3 linked regions of the Caenorhabditis elegans genome follow. The protein of the gene in region 2 purifies or fractionates together with the protein of the main gene of each other region. This does not show direct contact. Each region holds a gene or a part of one and is shown on either strand. Other genes may lie near its edges.

What was found.
Region 1: the proteins of T25B9.9 (region 2) and F08F8.7 fractionate together in Caenorhabditis elegans (co-fractionation; one large-scale study listed by BioGRID). This does not show direct contact.
Region 3: the proteins of T25B9.9 (region 2) and acox-3 fractionate together in Caenorhabditis elegans (co-fractionation; one large-scale study listed by BioGRID). This does not show direct contact.

The regions. Positions count from the first base shown.
Region 1 is NC_003281.10:7,344,805-7,349,517, forward strand, and holds F08F8.7 (Ribulose-phosphate 3-epimerase), read right to left. Parts: upstream 2,346-4,713; 5' UTR 2,339-2,345; coding exon 2,241-2,338; intron 1,842-2,240; coding exon 1,542-1,841; intron 1,490-1,541; coding exon 1,402-1,489; intron 1,353-1,401; coding exon 1,155-1,352; 3' UTR 1,051-1,154; downstream 1-1,050. Other genes in the region: F08F8.6 (uncharacterized protein), read left to right, coding at 1-22, 68-160, 417-466, 515-577, 659-925, 976-1,020; gos-28 (Golgi SNAP receptor complex member 1), read right to left, coding at 2,797-2,921, 3,271-3,403, 3,455-3,539, 3,586-3,734, 3,778-3,887, 4,258-4,360; F08F8.9 (uncharacterized protein), read right to left, coding at 4,604-4,698.
Region 2 is NC_003282.8:10,767,472-10,773,427, reverse strand, and holds the start of T25B9.9 (6-phosphogluconate dehydrogenase, decarboxylating), read right to left. Parts: upstream 3,776-5,956; 5' UTR 3,768-3,775; coding exon 3,438-3,767; intron 3,315-3,437; coding exon 3,245-3,314; intron 3,211-3,244; exon of another isoform or gene 3,116-3,210; coding exon of another isoform or gene 3,004-3,115; intron 2,642-3,003; coding exon of another isoform or gene 2,532-2,641; intron 2,485-2,531; coding exon of another isoform or gene 2,239-2,484; intron 2,193-2,238; coding exon of another isoform or gene 2,080-2,192; intron 2,018-2,079; coding exon of another isoform or gene 1,895-2,017; intron 1,847-1,894; coding exon of another isoform or gene 1,716-1,846; intron 1,668-1,715; coding exon of another isoform or gene 1,449-1,667; intron 1,401-1,448; coding exon of another isoform or gene 1,346-1,400; intron 1,282-1,345; coding exon of another isoform or gene 1,138-1,281; intron 1,068-1,137; coding exon of another isoform or gene 1,064-1,067; exon of another isoform or gene 681-1,063; intron 94-680; coding exon of another isoform or gene 48-93; exon of another isoform or gene 1-47. Other genes in the region: inpp-1 (Inositol polyphosphate-related phosphatase domain-containing protein), read left to right, coding at 48-93, 1,138-1,281, 1,346-1,400, 1,449-1,667, 1,716-1,846, 1,895-2,017, 2,080-2,192, 2,239-2,484 and 2 more; T25B9.8 (Lin-15A/B-like domain-containing protein), read left to right, coding at 5,269-5,292, 5,340-5,495, 5,597-5,956. UniProt on the Caenorhabditis elegans protein: Catalyzes the oxidative decarboxylation of 6-phosphogluconate to ribulose 5-phosphate and CO(2), with concomitant reduction of NADP to NADPH.
Region 3 is NC_003282.8:6,244,308-6,250,990, forward strand, and holds acox-3 (Acyl-coenzyme A oxidase acox-3), read right to left. Parts: upstream 4,186-6,683; 5' UTR 4,173-4,185; coding exon 4,074-4,172; intron 4,030-4,073; coding exon 3,898-4,029; intron 3,852-3,897; coding exon 3,684-3,851; intron 3,524-3,683; coding exon 3,382-3,523; intron 3,330-3,381; coding exon 3,008-3,329; intron 2,847-3,007; exon of another isoform or gene 2,826-2,846; intron 2,697-2,825; exon of another isoform or gene 2,675-2,696; intron 2,531-2,674; coding exon 2,430-2,530; intron 2,383-2,429; coding exon 2,286-2,382; intron 2,238-2,285; coding exon 2,064-2,237; intron 1,962-2,063; coding exon 1,847-1,961; intron 1,797-1,846; coding exon 1,255-1,796; intron 1,204-1,254; coding exon 1,092-1,203; 3' UTR 1,051-1,091; downstream 1-1,050. UniProt on the Caenorhabditis elegans protein: Involved in the first step of peroxisomal beta-oxidation by catalyzing the desaturation of fatty acid-derived side chains of ascaroside pheromones, which regulates development and behavior.

The DNA.
Region 1 (4,713 bases), on a different chromosome or scaffold from region 2:
TACTCGACAAATGGACAAAAACGTATGTCTTTCTCTGTATCTGTCTCTCCAAAATTCATTATTTCAGAGGAAACAAAACCAGGAAAAAAAGATAATCGATATCCAGAAGATGTCACATTTCCACCATCTGATATTGAACGTGTTTATGACACGATGGGAGGTAAGAATCAGAACTCGGTTATTGTTTAGTTGCCATACGCTCCAATTTTCGGCAACCAGCAACTTGGTTGCCCTGGTGGTCAGATAGACAGGGAGTAGGTATTGAGGGGGGTTGTGCAAGTCGGCAAAGCCGTAAGATGTAGGGATGAGGTGGACACGTACGCAGGCAGGTGTGAAGTAAGTATTAGGTAGGCAGAAGGAAAGGGACTGGTGAAGTGTCTGTCTATTTCTTGCAAATAATCGAAATCAATTTTCAGATGAAGATACTCGTAAATCGAAGACTATGACACTTGGAACTATTGAAGAGGTTTGTATGTTCACTCGAGTGTTTTCATTCATTTCAATCAATTTTCAGCCTGCTCCAAAATCGGCCATGCTCAGCTTACAGAAGACACCAAAGGAGAGTGAGACTGATCTGGTTCGTTTTTTATTTTTCGAAATATTTTTTAGCTTTTGTAGTACTCCAAGATCTTGAGCAAAAGTACAACCAATTTTTCAGAAAAAGACATTGCCACGTTCTCCTCCTCCAATTCCGAATCGTAAGCAGCCGTCTCGTGAGATCATGTTGACTCCGAAGCAATCTACAAAGACTGCAAATGCTGGAGGAAGAAGCAAGGAGCCGTCGTTGAATACTGCAATGAGCCAAGAGGCAGGAAATATCGAACCACGAAAGACTCCGAGTAAAGATACAATTGGAAGTACTGGAGTATTGCCATCAAATCAGGATAAGAAGACTCCGAGCAAGGAGAAGGAAAGTGTTAAAAATGTAAGCAACTGAAGAATGGTCCATGATGTTTTGTAATGCTCTTTTTTCAGACACCTGCTCCGACCCCGAAGCTAGGAACTGCAGAGCCCATCTGAACTTTATAGATAAATAAATGCTGCTTTGAATTTTTTAATTGACAATCATTTACTAACTATTAACATCACAACCTCAAAAAGCTCTGAAAAAATGAGCTTCAAAATTCAAAACAATATTCAAGTAATTAAGAAAATCAGCACTTCGAAATAGCAGCTTCAACTGCATTTCTGATTGTTGTCATGGCGACAGATTGATCTGCAGCTTTGATGATTCCAGTTCCACTCACGATCGCATTGGCTCCAGCTTGAGCAGAGATTTCAATATTTTCAGGTGTTACTCCTCCGTCAACTTGAATAGTCAGATTTGGATATTTTGAACGGATTGTGCGAACCTGAAAGCCATAAATTTTATTCGTATCAAATAAAAACCAAAATAAATACCTTTTCCATCATGTTTTCCATGAACTTTTGTCCTCCAAATCCTGGTTCCACAGTCATGATAAGAGCATTATCCAAATGATTAGCATGTCTAAAAAGTTTTTTAATTTAAAATCTAGATTGAAATATAATTTTGATTTTACTTCAAAATATGCTCAACAGAAGTTCCCGGTTTGACCGATAATCCCACTTTCATTCCACTTTTTCTGATTTTTTCGATCAATTCACTGACTGCCACATCACCATCTACAGCCTCATAATGGAATGTGAACTGGCTGGCACCAGCTTTTGCCATCGGTTCAACCCACTGTCCAGGATTAGAGACCATCAAATGAACATCGAAGAATGGTTCAGCACCAAGAGATTTACGAAGAGATTCAACGACAGGGTGACCGAATGTGAGGTTTGGTACAAAGTGACCGTCCATCACGTCGAGGTGAAGCCTGCAAGTTGGGAGCTGGATACTATGGGAACGCAGAAAGTAAATCCTTTGAAAATCCAAGTGGAAACGTTACTTACTTACTGCTAAATGAAAACGCTCCGCCCCTCGAACCATGGGTCTCATTAGGTATTGACATTGATAGTTTAAGCGTTTTCAATTAGTCCTGCCAATTTGTGTTTGAAGATGAAAACAATTTCAATTTGCGATTTTGTGGCCAAATACCTAACGAGACCGTAATCTCGGGGGGTCGGAGCGTTTCCAATTGGCCGTGGAGTACGTTTCCATGTTGATTTCAGAAGAGGTTTTTGTGCGTTCCCATTTAGATTTTTGAAATCTAAAGGGACATTTAAATATGAAAGTAGTTGTCAAAACTATTCAGAATTTCTAAAGATCACCTTACCAATCTGCTCCAGCTGCTAAAAGTTTCTTGCATTCAGAAGCCAATGATGCAAGATCGGCATTCAGAATTGATGGACACACAAATGGACGGAGGGTCATCTGAATTCTAGATAAATAAATTTTATCATCCAGAATCAATGAACAAATAAAGTTATAGAATTAAACTTTCAACTGTAAACTTTCAAAAAAATCTTTAAATAATACTTTAATTCATAAATATGTATACCCAATTGTTTCACATCGAGAAAAAAACGAAAAAGCCAAGAACTCCATTATACTCGAAAGATTACAAAACGAGAAAATTATTTACAAGTAAAAATTAGAAAAACGGTGAGGAATATCACAATGAAAGTGGTGTGCGTTGTATGAAGGGACAAGGGAATAGTACAAAAATCGATTATTCTTATCATTCAGTTTCTATTTTTCATTGACACAAAGTAATAACAACTCGAAAACTTGATAAAAAGTTACGACTGCCGATTGTTAAATTTCTTCGAAAAATACGAAAATCGGAGTTCGAAAAAGTTTTTGAGTTTTTTTTTGATATTTGAAACTGATTAATTGATAATCCAGAAAATTGTAAAAATAAGGCACGATGAGATGACGGCAGCAAGGATCAGTGTGTTCTTCTGCTTTTTCGTTTTGATTTTTTGCATCAAATTGTTAATTGCAGGATATTTTTCTAAAAAAAGTTGTTTTGATAATTATTATGCAGCTTGTAAAACTGTTTTTCAAAAATGTTGAGTCTCAGTTGAAAGGAGGAATTTTTTTTTGAAATTTTTTCGGCTTTTTGGAGAAATTCTAACTTTTGTTTTTCGGTCCAAATTTCAAATAAATTTTTTGTTGTTTTTTTTTAAAGATTTTTTGTCAAAAAACTGTATTGCAAGAAATTTGAACTCAAGTTTATTAGGTCTAAATTAATCTAGATTGACGATTTCAAAAAAGATCGGGTGTTTCAGGAACATTTTTATCAGAAATGTTCATAAATACTTAGATTTACTTTAATTGTTTCCCTTTTAAAGATAAATTACTTGAAATATGATGAAGCCGAGTTGATATTCCACGTAGATTAATTCCCTGTCTGGCCATATTCTCTTTCGTTGACATTGCCATTTCTAACTGTTCATCTAACAATCGATCACAAGCGTTTATATGGTCATTCTCCTGAAATTAAATTAATTAGTACTACTTTCTTGAAATTCTTCCCAAAAATACCTTCAAATACATATCATATCCACGAGCCCTGTTGTTCAGTATAGGATTATTACGATTTTCATTTGAACTGCTCAACAAGAGTTCTCTGAATAATATCGTATTGTTTAATTTAAAAAAAGTATTTTTCATACCTCTGTAATACCTGATCAACATTATCTCTTGCACGTCGATACTCACTACCGTAATCTCGAAGAATTTCTCGATGTCGTCGAAGTGTGTGTTGAATGGCTGGATTATTAGCCCAAGATGCCGAGGATTGAGCACCAGCTACGTCATTCATCTGAAGTTGACGAATTTAAAAACAAAATTGAAAATAAACTAACATCATCATTGATATTTGTCAATTGCTCTATCAATCCTTCGATTTCTGTTGTCACTGTTTTGAAGCTCGTTTGTCTTGAGGAAACTGTTTTCTCGTCGATGTCAAAACCGCCTGAAATATTTTTTCAATAGGAAACATGTTTATTAAATATTTTTCTGAGAGACATGTTCGAAAGTTGGTTATTCAAACGCCAAAAATACTGTACCCGGTCTCGACACGAAAATGTTCTTTATAAATGCCCTTTTTGGTTTTTTCATTAGTTTCTTTTTCTTTTTTAAAGTTTTTTTTTCAGAATATATAATATTTGGGTTTTTCAAATAAATACATATATTTTTTTTGAAACTTCCGCATCAACACAATTCAGAAAGTGCAGTACTCTTCAAAGGCGCACACTTTTTTGTATTTTATGAAAATGTTTCGTGTCAAGACCCGGTATCGTATTTTCTGAGGATAAAATCGTAAAATTCTTGGTAATACTTACCATGAGAGCTAGCCGTTAATTTATTCAGGGAGACGAGCTTGACATCGATGGAATTTTCTGTGCTTCGGGCTTTCTTCCGCAACGCTTCCCAAGTTTCTGACATTCTGTGTTCCTGAAAGTATTGTTTTTTCGAGTGACTGAAATGTTGGTCACTACTATGAGAAATAAATATATTCATCGATATTTTGACGATTAGAAAATTAACAACAAATAAAATTAAACGGAAGTTATGAGTAAAACTTCATTCAAAAACTTAAATTGAATTAAAAAAGAACGAGATTTTCCAATAACGATTCTACGATTGAATTGATTTCGAACAAAACAAAGTTTTCCAGCCAATTGTGAATCAAACTTCTTCGTCATCACTGATATCTTCCATATTGACCGTTACTTGAACGTTTTTGTTGTTACGACGACGTTGTTTCCTGCTGGGACCTTCAGCTGAAAAAAATATGT
Region 2 (5,956 bases):
TTAAATCTCGCAGCAGGTGTATTGCAAATGATTTCATATAAAAAGTGATGTTTCGAGTATTTCCATGGTCCGGATCATATTCTAGTAGTGCTGGTAAGTCTGTGTTCTGATTACATGTTCTGCTAAACCTAATATTATCAAAAATAAAATAGCAAGTGTGAAATTTTCGAGAAGTTTCAAAAATACTTTCGTATATACACAAGAATTCTTATTTTTGATTGAAGTCTGGAAGTCATATGTATTTCATATTTTCTCATAACACTATTTTCAAATAACATTCGCCAAAAGATAACATAATTACCGTTGCTGGAAAAGTAGGCAAAATTTAGCAAATTTTATCATTGAAAAAACTCGAAAAAGCAGAAGAAACAAAGAAAGATACTTGGAATTATCATATTACAACGAGTTTTCAAGTTCTTCTAATTGTATTTTATTTTTATTTCTAGTGAGGGAGAATAATTATAGCTCGAGAAGATCTAGATTCATGTGTTTAATTTTGTCGTTTCTTTTCATTTCTCTTGGTTTTCTTAAAAAATAAGGAAGCATATGGCGACCCAGACTCTTTTCTCCAGTGGCGACCCAGACTCTTTTCTAAAATTTCCACTTGGCATGTAATCGGAAACCTAGCAACACAAGTTTTCCTGTTGCTTCGCCTTCTGAATGCTTTTCCATGGGCACCCATTCAAATACTTCTTCTCTCACGCCCGTCTCACTCGTTCGTCCTGCGTCTCCAAACTTTTCTCCTGTCCCCATTCATCTCTGCACTTGCCCATTTCCCTTTGCACACCGAAATCTACATAACATTATATAGCACCACCAACACCAGAGTCGTCCGTTATACTTGTTCGTCATTTTATCATCGGACAAAAACGAGCGAATTGCACACGAAAAACGCGGGCTTTCTGACATACAAAAGTGCGCGCTCTTCCCTCCCGTTCCTATACTTGAAGCCTCTGATAGAGTCCGTCGCTATTGGATTTATGTTCTCTATTTTCAATATGCATTTCGAAGCTTAGTTGGTTGAAACGAAGCAATAAGCCAAGTTATTTAATTCATACAGTAAATGGGTAAGACTGAGAAACATTTGAGTTGAAATCTAGTATTCTACATTTATTTGGACGTATCAATTTCTTTTAGATGCCAACACTCCCTCTGCATCTGGAGGTGATCCAAAATCAGGAGATTCTTCAAGTGAGAAGCAATCACATCAAACTCCTACTCGACACCCTCCATGGCTCCGTTCTTCCTCTCAACCTGCCACGTGGCGTAACAGCGCCTCATGTAAGCCTCTAATCCTTCCCCGACTTAATCCTATTGTTCTGACACCCATTACACTTCATTTCAGTCAACGAGATCAGTGACGGCAATTGGACATACTGCATTGAAACGCAAAATACTGCGTAAGTGATTACTTTTTTTTCATCATTCATTGAACATATGATATTTAGCCCTGCTGTAAAAGGATTTGGGAATGTTCCAATTGTCAGTTACGACGTTATTGAAGCTATGGGTGATAGAAAACTGAAAGTATGTACCGTGACATGGAACATTAACGAAAAAGGTGTGAAAATATTGAGCCATCTCGCTCAGAAAATAGCAGAACGAGGACAAGAAATGGATAGTGATATATTTTTCATCTCATTGCAAGAAATACCTTCCACAGCACCGTTAGTTCCGAAAACTATTAATTTTCGATTAACTAAAATCAGTTTCAGAACTTTTCATGAAGAAGCATTACGAATTCTTGAGCCAGTTCTCAATGGTCATCGTCTGTACCTTTCACATAGAGCCTGGAGTCAAATGGTAATAGTCTTCATTCGACAGAAACATCTTCGATATGCAATCCGTGAGTTCAGATCTTATAATCTAGAATCTAATAGTTTAAAATTTCTAGAACCACAAGTATCATTTATCGCATCTGGTGCAATGGCAAAACCAGTTCGAACGAAAGGTGCAATCGCGGTATGTCTTCGTTTATATCAGCGATTTATAGTGCTTATCGGATGTCATTTATCACGTGAGTGGTCCCTTACATTGTTAGACTAATGATGAGAACACAAAAATGTTATATTCTTACAGATGCAACACCACAACAACGTATCCAAGACTACGCTAAAGTGGTCCGCACTCTTCGTTTTCCTCAGCTTGCCAGATTTCATGCACATGCAAAAGACGAAATTTTTGGTTCTGACGTAAGCGCCTCTGAAGGGCGACACTTCCTCCATAAATCATTTTCAGGTGGTGCTTTGGATTGGAGATTTGAATTTCCGGGTTACTGTAGAGAGCAATGTAGACTGGAGAGATCCGGAAAAGATTACAGAGAAAACATTTAGAGATGTTTTTGAAACAGAAGAGCTTGCCAGTCATAGGAAAAAGCAATTAGCATTCACAGATTTCAAGGAAGCTCCAATTAAATTCCCTCCAACACATAAATTCGAGCCAGACACAGACAATTATGTGCCAAAAAGGATTCCGTCTTTTACTGTGAGTAATTTCTGATTACAAACATTGCTAAGACTTCAATATTTTAGGACCGCGTTCTCTTTTGGGTAAGAAACTCGGAATGGCTCCAAAACATTCAGTACGATTGTATGAGAGGAACAACACCGTCGGATCATAAGGCAGTTTTTGCCACTTTTTGGTTAGCTTTTTTTAAACCTAGCAATAGAGTATGGTTAATTGGAAAATGATTAAAAACCATTAATATTGTATTTAAATTACCAAAAATAATATTAAATATATTCAAAAAATTTTGTAAAATTTTTGTATTTCGAGTCAAAAAGCGGTGCGAACTCAGTTTTCACCAATTTTTTTGGAAGTAGTGTACCAAAAAATTTATTTTGGTTTTATGTTATAATTATGTTTTAAATATTCATGTTAATTTAGCGAAGAGTTTTATTTTGATATTTGGTCATTTTAGCATCATAGGAATGGTTTTTAATCATTTTTCCAATTAACCTTACTTTTAATTGTTCACTATTTACTGGTTAATCATTTTTCTAGGCTAACTGTGATCAATAAGCCGGTTCCTGAACATTACAAGCAACAAAAGTCGCTGGAAAGAGAAATATCAATGAAAACCAACTCGGTGGATGCAAGTGGACCAGTGAACTAATATTAATCTAAAAAAGCATATTTCCAAACATTTGGTTTAATCTGGTCATTAAATCCCTGTTATTGTATTTTTAAATAAATTACCGTATACCTCAACTCTTTGCAAACAATTCAAAATACAAATTCATACCTTCTTCTCCTCCGGAAACTCCACAGCCGACGAACATGATCCCCTTTGCGGCGAGTTGCTCGGAGCGTCTCTGAAAATAATTGTTGTTTGTCAGTTCACAATCGATTCACTATATTACATATTTATTTTATTTTTAGAGAGAAAAGTCTAATGAATAAAATAAATAAATATTTAGAAAAAAACAAAAACTTACGTTTGAATCAGTGTATTCAGAATTTCCTCCATCAATGATAATATCACCTTCCTCAAGATGCGGAACAATTGCATCGATCATCATATCGACAGGAGTTCCGGCTTTAATGAGCATCATGACACGACGTGGTCTTTTCAATTTCTTGCACATTTCCTCAATTGAATGAGCTCCAATAATCTTAGTTCCTTTAGCTTCATTGGCAAGAAAATCGTCGACCAATTTGACAGTTCTGTTGAAGGCGCAAACAGTGAATCCGTGATCATTCATGTTCAGAATAAGATTTTGACCCATAACGGCCAATCCGATGACGGCAATATCAGCTTCGGCCATTTTAATTTCTGGAAAAAGCCATTGAAAATTAAAAAAAAGGATTTTAAGAGTGACGGAGAGAAGAAAAATATAGATTGCGGTTACAAAATTGATTTTTAAAAGTCTCTTATGGCGTAAATGACCAATTTATTTCAGAAAACAATTCTCATGTGTGAAATTTTGATCAAAATGGTTCAATTTCGGGAAACATCAATGAAACAATGATGATAATGTTTCGAAAAAAGTGATGCCAGAAAGGATTTTTTCATTACTCAGAATTTATAAATTTGATGTGAACGTTTTTGGATAATTCGGGGAAAGTTGTAAAAACGTGAGAGACGACTTTGATTAGTTTTTTGTGAGGAGGCGCCTCCCGCTCTTTACTTCATTTTTGGACAAACAATCAATGTCATCATCATTATTTTGTGGCCTACTCCACTCAACTTCCATCGCTTATTTATATATTGACTAGTGGAGGCGATTTGTTTTGTTTATAGGCCGTGTAATTATTATTATAACAATAATTGGGTACAGTTAGAAAAACTGAACTGGTTGACGGAAAGTGCACAGAAAAAAGAAAAACGAGGAAACCAGATAAGCAAAGAGACGGAGACAGATTTCTGCAGTGAATAAGAGATTGGGGGAAATTTGTGACTATCTTGTAGACCACACTCGGAGTTCTGTGAGATGTTATCTTTCTAGAAAATTGACCTCAATAGGTTTTCGAAAAGAAAAATTTCAAAATATTTCAAGGATAAGGATTCAAGTATTTCCTGAATTCAAAAATTGAACGCAATGATAGGAGAAAATAAGTTTCTGTTCTTTTAGAACGAGTGCCGACGAATGCCGACGAATGAACAAAAAACAAAGTGGTGTTTGGCATTGAATTACTTTTTTTTCTCCCCTGCACTCTTGTTACTTTTAGGCTACGACGCAAACAAAAAATGCCGGAGGTTTTGTCACCTTTTTTCAAAATTTTACAAGAAACGATGACAATTCGATCTTCTCGAGGTGTTTTGTTTTCGCTCAGGATTGAAAGCGTCGAATATGATGAGAAAATTGGAGGTTCAGAGAACAAATTGCATTGTAAAACGGGAATCAGAGTACATTTAATTTATGTAAACATGCGCAAGCAGGAATAAGATCCAAAGAAACACGGGAAAACTTAAAATTGAAATTGACACACTAATCTTTTAAGGTAAAAACTTTTTCTTGAGAGGTCCGCAAACTCGCTCTATTGGGCTACGGCGGTAATTCGAACTGAATTCTCTACATTAATTTTTAGTTTCTTTTTTTTTAATTTAATAAGAGCGTTCATCGTTCACTCAACGATTTTTTTTCTCCTTACGTCCTCATTCTCCTATATTCTCACAAAACACATCTCTGCCGTCGTTTCGCTGCCTACACTGCCTTTGTCTCGTTGTCTGCGTCGCTGCTGACCCTGCGTTGAGCGAGTTTCTTACCATATTGATTGTCAACTTTATTTTTTTATGCAATTAATTTACCTAAATAATAAAACTAAATGGAGAACATCAGCAATGAAGAGGTCAGTTTTAGAGTTTCCTAGGTATTTATAAAAAATCCAAATTTCAGAAACAAGCTTATCAGAAGAAAATGCTCAACGTGTTGATGATTGATTTTCTGAGAAGTACAAACATTGAATTTTCTATCGTAAATCATCCAAAATTTCGAGCAATGTTCGAGCTCATCAGACCGGATATTGTTTTGCCTACAACATCAGACTTAATTGTAAGTAATTTCAAAAATGAGCTTTTCAAATACTTACTATTTTAAAGTTATACTATAAAAATAGAGAAATATCCACACATATTCATCTAAAAGTTTTATAGAAAGTGAATGTCGACAAATACGATACATTCAAACGATGGGAGCTTATGAACCCCGATGAATACGAAAATTTAGAAAAACAACGTCACGAAATGGTTCGTCAATGGATGCAAACTGATATTCTTGAATGTCGAGAATCAAACAACGAATACATGCCGAATAGCCTTTCAAATTGTTTCCAATTGAGTCAAACTTCGGTAGGCAGGGAAAGACGATCTGATGAACAGTCGGTTTTCCCAAACGAAATGGAAGAGGAGTCATCTATGGATAATGAATTTGACGCGAACAGTGAAAATTCGAATGATATGGCACAATCGAGTCCAAATGTGAACTCACAAGATATCAAATTAGAACCAATATCA
Region 3 (6,683 bases), 4.5 Mb from region 2:
TTTATACTGGAAATATGATTACAATGGAGATTATATTAACGGATGGTATCAAATGATTATTGTTTGAAATTTGATAAAAATTTGTGTTATTCTATTTTTAAAATCTCGAAACAAAAAATTTTCAAAGCATTTTGCACCTACAAATTAAAAAAAACTTTTTACCGTTTCCCATTGATGGTATAACACTTTTTTGAAATCACGCAACATTGGTATACGGAGCTTCAGTTGTGTTCGAGCTTTTACAGCCTTTCTGAGCCTTTGTAGAGTTTCCTGAAGTTATTCGCACGCAATACAAAGTTGACATTGGAGAATCAGACGGACGAGTTCTGAAAAACTTTAAGTTTTGAAAATTGTATTTTTGAAATTATTTGTCATCGTGCGAAGAATTTCAAACGGAAGACCTTTTTGATGCACAACCCTTTCAAGCCAATTAGCAAATTAATGAGAGTTGATAAATTTATAAATTCTCCAGATATGTGAAATGGATTCTTTATCACGTGGAGAATAGAAATTAAAAATAAAAGTCGTGAGCGAGTTAATCTTTGTATTCATCGACTTCGCGACAACATTGATACAATAATATTGTGAGAACAGTTTTTAAAGTAAAATTAGAAATTGGCGTGGAAATAAATTAAATTTTGGTGTTATTTCATATAAATATTATTTTATAAATACATTGTGAAAGTTCTACAATGATTTTTGGCACTTAATAAATAGTTTTAAACATTTTCCCCGTGGGCGCTATCACTATTTTAAATTTTCCCCGTTTCACATTAATCATATAAATTCATTTAAACTAACGCAACATTATCGTTTTGGTTCTAAATGAGAAACTATTTTCCAGTGTTAGAAGCCTTTTAAGCATTTCCTGACATCCGGGTACCAAAGTTTTAATAAATTTTTTCAATTAAACATTTAAAAAATTTTGCCGTTTCACGTCGACGATATGTATAAATCTGAAAACTTTGCTTATACGTTTAGATTTTTATTTTTTGCAAAAATTTTAGCTTTCAAAGAAATTTGAAATTGTTTGTATATTTTGAATTTATTCAAAAACTGGATTTATTGGGAAATATACAGTTTGTGAAATATTATAGCTTGGATCCTTGTGATCTCTTTTGCAAAAACTGAGCCAAATCGCAAACCCATCTTGGTTGTTCATTTGTATACTTCCGGAATTCTTCCATTATATGCTCGTACGCTCTGAAAATCAAATTTAAAGTTCAGCAGAAACCTTTACATTTTAAAACTGACTTTCCATCAGATGCTCCCAGAGCTGAATGTAAAATGAAATCATCTGGAGCAATCGAGTCCACTAAAGCAATGGCCTCGGGTTTTAATTCGGCTACAGCGAGTCTAAGCTTCTCTCGAAGATCTTCTCCAAACTTTCCACCAGAAGCATATCCAGTAATATAAAGAGTTGCAAGATGTCTTTCCAAAAGGAAAAGTGAGAAAAGATTCAAAACTTTTTGAAGAACCGGCTTCACACTTTGATCTTCAATTTCTTTCAAGAACTGTTGAACCCAATGGATCATTGTATGTTCTGTGTATGCAACAGACAAATTGACAGCTCTATGAATTTGAATTTCATTTCGAACTTCGAATGAATTCTTTCCAGATGCTTTTAGTCTGTAAGCTTCTGCCGAAGTTGTTTGAAGTAAGTGATAAGTGAGATATCGGTACGCAGACAACACGTCATTAACTGGATTCGAAGACCATGATGAGAACTTTGAAGGTTTTTGATTCAAGAATGACATAGTAGACATCGGGGTCTCAATGGATCCAATTGATTGAGCCTGAACATCAGAATCTCAATATGATTAAAGAATCTGACAATTAAGTTTACTTTTCCTAGCAAAATATTGCTGGTTTGTTGCAAAATCATAAAGTTTTCTCCTTCAAATGTTTGTGATGGATCGTTGTCATCTCGGAGGGTGTTCAATCGTGACATTTGTAGGTATCTGTAATTTAAATTTTAACTTTAATCTGGAAAAAATAGAAAGACGAATTCTCAAAAAATGAGTTTCTTAAAGTTAAGTTTCAGGTTATGTTAGGAAACATACCCATGACCTCCACAAGCTTTTCTAGCTTCTCCAAGGGATTCTACACCAAGCCACGTTGCAACCGGTTTAGCTCCAGACGACAATGCATGTACTTCTTTTGAGAACTCGGAGAGCTCGTCTGACTTTTCTCCCATTATGACTCTCATCATATATTCAGTGAAATGTCCGACAAACCTATAAAGTTTAACTAATTATTGAAAACAATTTGTTTAGAGTTCCCACTTCTTCTGGAATATTCTAATGCAAATTGCAGCGGATAGGTACGGGAATAGACGATACTGTTGAAGTGGATACTCGAGAACTGGGATCTCATTTTCAGCTGAATTATACAAAAGTTGAGAAATTGAGAAAAGGAATGGTGCTCACCGCCTTTTACTGGTCCAAACTGTCGCCGAGCAACACTGTATCGAATAGCAATTGTAGATGCAAAAGTGCAAGCCATCATTCCTTTTGCGATAATTCCGAGTCTGAAATTTGTGTTATTGTGAAACCATTGTTGGTAAAGTTTGAATTTTGAAACAGTATTTTGTTTGAAAAAAATCAATCGGAAAAACTTATAGATTGCACTGTTTTCCCAACTTTATGAATTCGTCTGCTTTTACAATTTCGAATTGTCCTAAGAATGCCATTTCCATTATTTCTATTTGTATTAAATACAATGGCTTCACTCTAGAAAATCAATTCATATTTTAAAAGTATCGATTAAAGCTGGAATAGATTCGTTTTGAGATTTTGCTTTTATTGATAATAAGGCTCGGCCGTGAAATTTGCATCTTGTATCTACTAAAACTGAGAAAAAAACAACACATTTAAAAAGTTGGTAAAACAGCGGCTAGAAATTCTTCAGAACCTGATTTTTTTAACAGAAATTCTTTTAGATACAAATTTCACTCAATTAAAAAATTTTTCTATACGGCCGGCGTCGTAAAGTATTGAAAACATACCTTCCAACTGACAATGTTCCCAAACTGACACTCTGCTTCTCACTTGCAGATTTGAAACTTGTCACATATTTTCCATCCGGAGTAATATCACAACCCTTATTCAAAAGTGCACTCAGAGGAGCTCTATGGTTCTTAAACTCCATCCAGCCATTTTCTACTCCCTGCCAGCATCCTGGTTTCGAGCCCATGTCTCCAATGGTAATTCCTGGTAGAGTTTGGAAAGTTCTAGGGCAACGAACTTGAATCACAAATCCATGAAATCCCTCGTTCTTTCCTTCGACATGAAGTTGAGCATAAACAACTACGTGAGTGGCCGAGTGAGCTAAAAAAATGGATTTTTTTAAATTTAAAATTAAAAATGTTTTAAAACCCACCGAGATTTCCAGCCCAACATTTGATTGCACTGACACTTGGAGTATTGAAAACAAGTTCTCCATTGTCAAATGTAGCTGTTGTTTGAATTTCAGCAGTGTTTGAACCATGGCCTACTTCTGTCAGACAAAATGCTCCGACGATCTGAAATTTGCTATTTTGCAAGGAAACCTAAACTTTCCAGATTTGAATACAATGCGCTTTTGTTTAAATTTCTTTAGAATAAATTATTTTCAAATTTGTTTTGATTTTTCTTTTTCTTGAGTACTTCTTAATTTTGTATGCTATTTTCTTTGAAATTCACCTCATTGTTTTCAGTTTTCTGAATCAAATCCTTATGTCTATCTGTTCCCATTGACTTAACAGCTGCTCCAAAAACATTTCCGTGGAGGAAAAGCCTTGCAGATGTGCCTTGATCATAAGCTTCAAGAGTTTCAGTCAATGCATGGAAGTTTTCAAGATCGGAGTACGGCTGAATATTCGAATATATTGAAAATCTACAATTTAATAAGAAATACATCTTTGAACAACCCCCATTCGACAATTTTCTTCCATCTCTGATGAACAACTTCTCTTTGCTCTTCTCTACTCAATACTCGATAATCTCTGTGAAATACTGGTTCTGACTTCATTTTAGCAACTACTTCTGACTGAAATATATATAAATATTTTATAAATCCAAAATCTACTATACCTTCAGTCTAACATGTTCTTCTCCTTCAACGGCTGCTTTCAATTTTTTCCAGTCGAAAGTTGCCATTTTCCGGTATTTGTCAATTAAAGGAGCACTCATTTTTGATCTGAAACTGAAAAATTTACTAAATAAATCCTTTAAATTCAAAAGATTCATTTTATTTTCAGCAGAATATATGTTAAAATAAACTGAACAAAATTAAGACAAAAGCAATTGCATATGTACTGGGTAGGAAGAGTGTAGTCTTATCAAAAACAAAGAAAATAGAAAGTAATTGAGAGACGCAGAGATCGAAGACAGTCTGACTACAGCGTGGTGGTATTGTATAAATAGGGGGAGGAATGGTCTTTTAAAATTATCGTAGTAGATTGTAATTAGCTGGTGTTTGTAAAAAGGGTCAGAGGAAATTAACTGAAATTTTACAGAAAATTCATGTTTCCTTGTTTTAAAGTGGGCTCGGAGAGAGAATGTGGACAAGTAAATAGTTTAAAACAACGTAGTGGATAATAAAAAATTTAGTATTATTTCCATAAGTGTAAAACATGTTTTTAAATAAAAATACGCTAAAAAATTTCTAAATACAGTTTTGGCGAAAGTGGGGGTAACACATTTCCAGGAGCGTACTGGTCAAAATAAAAATTAAATTAAATTAAAATTAAATTAAAAATTATTAGCACTTTAACTTCAATATTTCATACTTTTACAATATTTTCCAACATTTTTGCAGTTTAGACTTTGATGTAAACATTTTTAGCGGTTTCATAGTTTTCCCGAAATCAATTTTGGCTGAACTACCAAAACTTGAAATTACTGATAATAATAATAGGTTTGCTCTGACTTGAGCAATTATATTAGGTGTCCGATAAAACCTACTCATCAATTTTGTGGAATTTGGAAAAAAATGTGATTGCCAACTTTGTGATTTTGTTGAAAACCTCAATAGAGAGTTTGCTTTTTCTTCGAATTACTAGATGCGTTTCACTATTTTATAAGTTAAAATAAGTGGAACCACAAAGTTCAGGCAATATTTTTCTATCATTACTAACATTAACAAGAAGAGATTAGTTTAATTCATGATCAAGACTGTTTTTACGAGATCTTTTTTTCAGCTGAAGTTTCAATATCAAAACAGAGAAAATGCCTCTGTTCATATAGTATTCGTGAAACAGCATAATAATTTTTTTGTTTAATTTAAATTTGAACACAAGAGTTGGCCAATTGAAGCATGATTGAAATACAATTAAAACTATTTATTTTCCATCTTTTTTCATAATTTCATAATCTTATTTCCCTCTTCTCAAACAAGTCTTTCGTTTCATGATCTTGGCATAAAGAAGAGCTTGAAAACATTTCTAATCCTTTTTTCCTTTTTTGCTAATCTCTCAAAACCTCCTACATTTCAATAATCTCTAGCTCTAACGTCACACATTCTGAGCTTTTGAGAGAGTCAGAGAAGCCACAAACCCGCCCATTTTCTGAAGAAGAAATCACTCATTCTGCCTTCTTCGACTGCTTGGTGGCGGTCCTATCTTCTTTTATGCAATATATCATACTATGTTATTTTTCTGTTATTTTATTGCTTAAACATCAAGCAATTAGAGTAAGTTAGTAGTATAGTGGGAATAGTTGTGCAAAAGACTTAAAGTTGCGCATTTTTGCAAATTTCTCGGTTGGTCCCCCGTTTTAGAATAATTGAGGAATTTCACTGAAAACCGTGTGTGCCTATTAATTATTGCTTCATGTGTGCCAATGTTGCGAATAAGTTTCTGGCATTAATTAGTGTATAAAACGTTGAAATGTGTGGATCGTAAAGTTGTGCATTGAAAACGGGGATCCGAGTTGTGACCGGAAAACTAGTCGATCTGAAATTTCACACTACACATTAATTCACAATTAGCTTTTCACAACTCGTCAAACTATGCGTACAAGAGCTATTTTGAACACGTTTTAATGTACGGGAAGGAAATTCAAAACTCCACTCTAACCGCGGCCGGTTTCTATCATGACCCTGTGATTGGCGACCACCGTAGTCCTGGGTTTCAACAGCGTTGTGCCTCAATTTACAACCAGGACGAAATACAAGTTGCGGCAAACATTTCGATTGACTTGATGAATCAGCCGCGAGTGCTCTTGAACGGTTGTAATGTGAAACTTACAGTTTACCCAAATGATAGTAAATTTTTGATTGAGGTTTACAATCGCGACAACAACACAGAGTTTCAGTTCAAAATAACCGACGTTTACGCTCTGGTTAACGAATTCGATCTTGCCGACGGTCTATCTAATGCTCTAGAGAGCTCCATTATTGAGCACAAAATAATCCAATATCCTCTAATATCTTCACAGGTGCGCAGTTTCTATATAGAGTCTGGACGTCTTGACGCGCCGGCTAACACACTCTTCACAAGCAAGATGCCCCGTCGAATTTTCATTGGTCTTGTTGATTCTGACGCGTACAATGGCTCTTATGATAAATCACCATTCAATTTCAAACCACATGGTATATCTGATATACATGTTGATTATTGTGGAATGACACTCCCCGGCCGCCCTTTTGCCTTAGATTTTGACAGAAACAAGTTTATGGAGGCATACATTCAACTTCAAGAA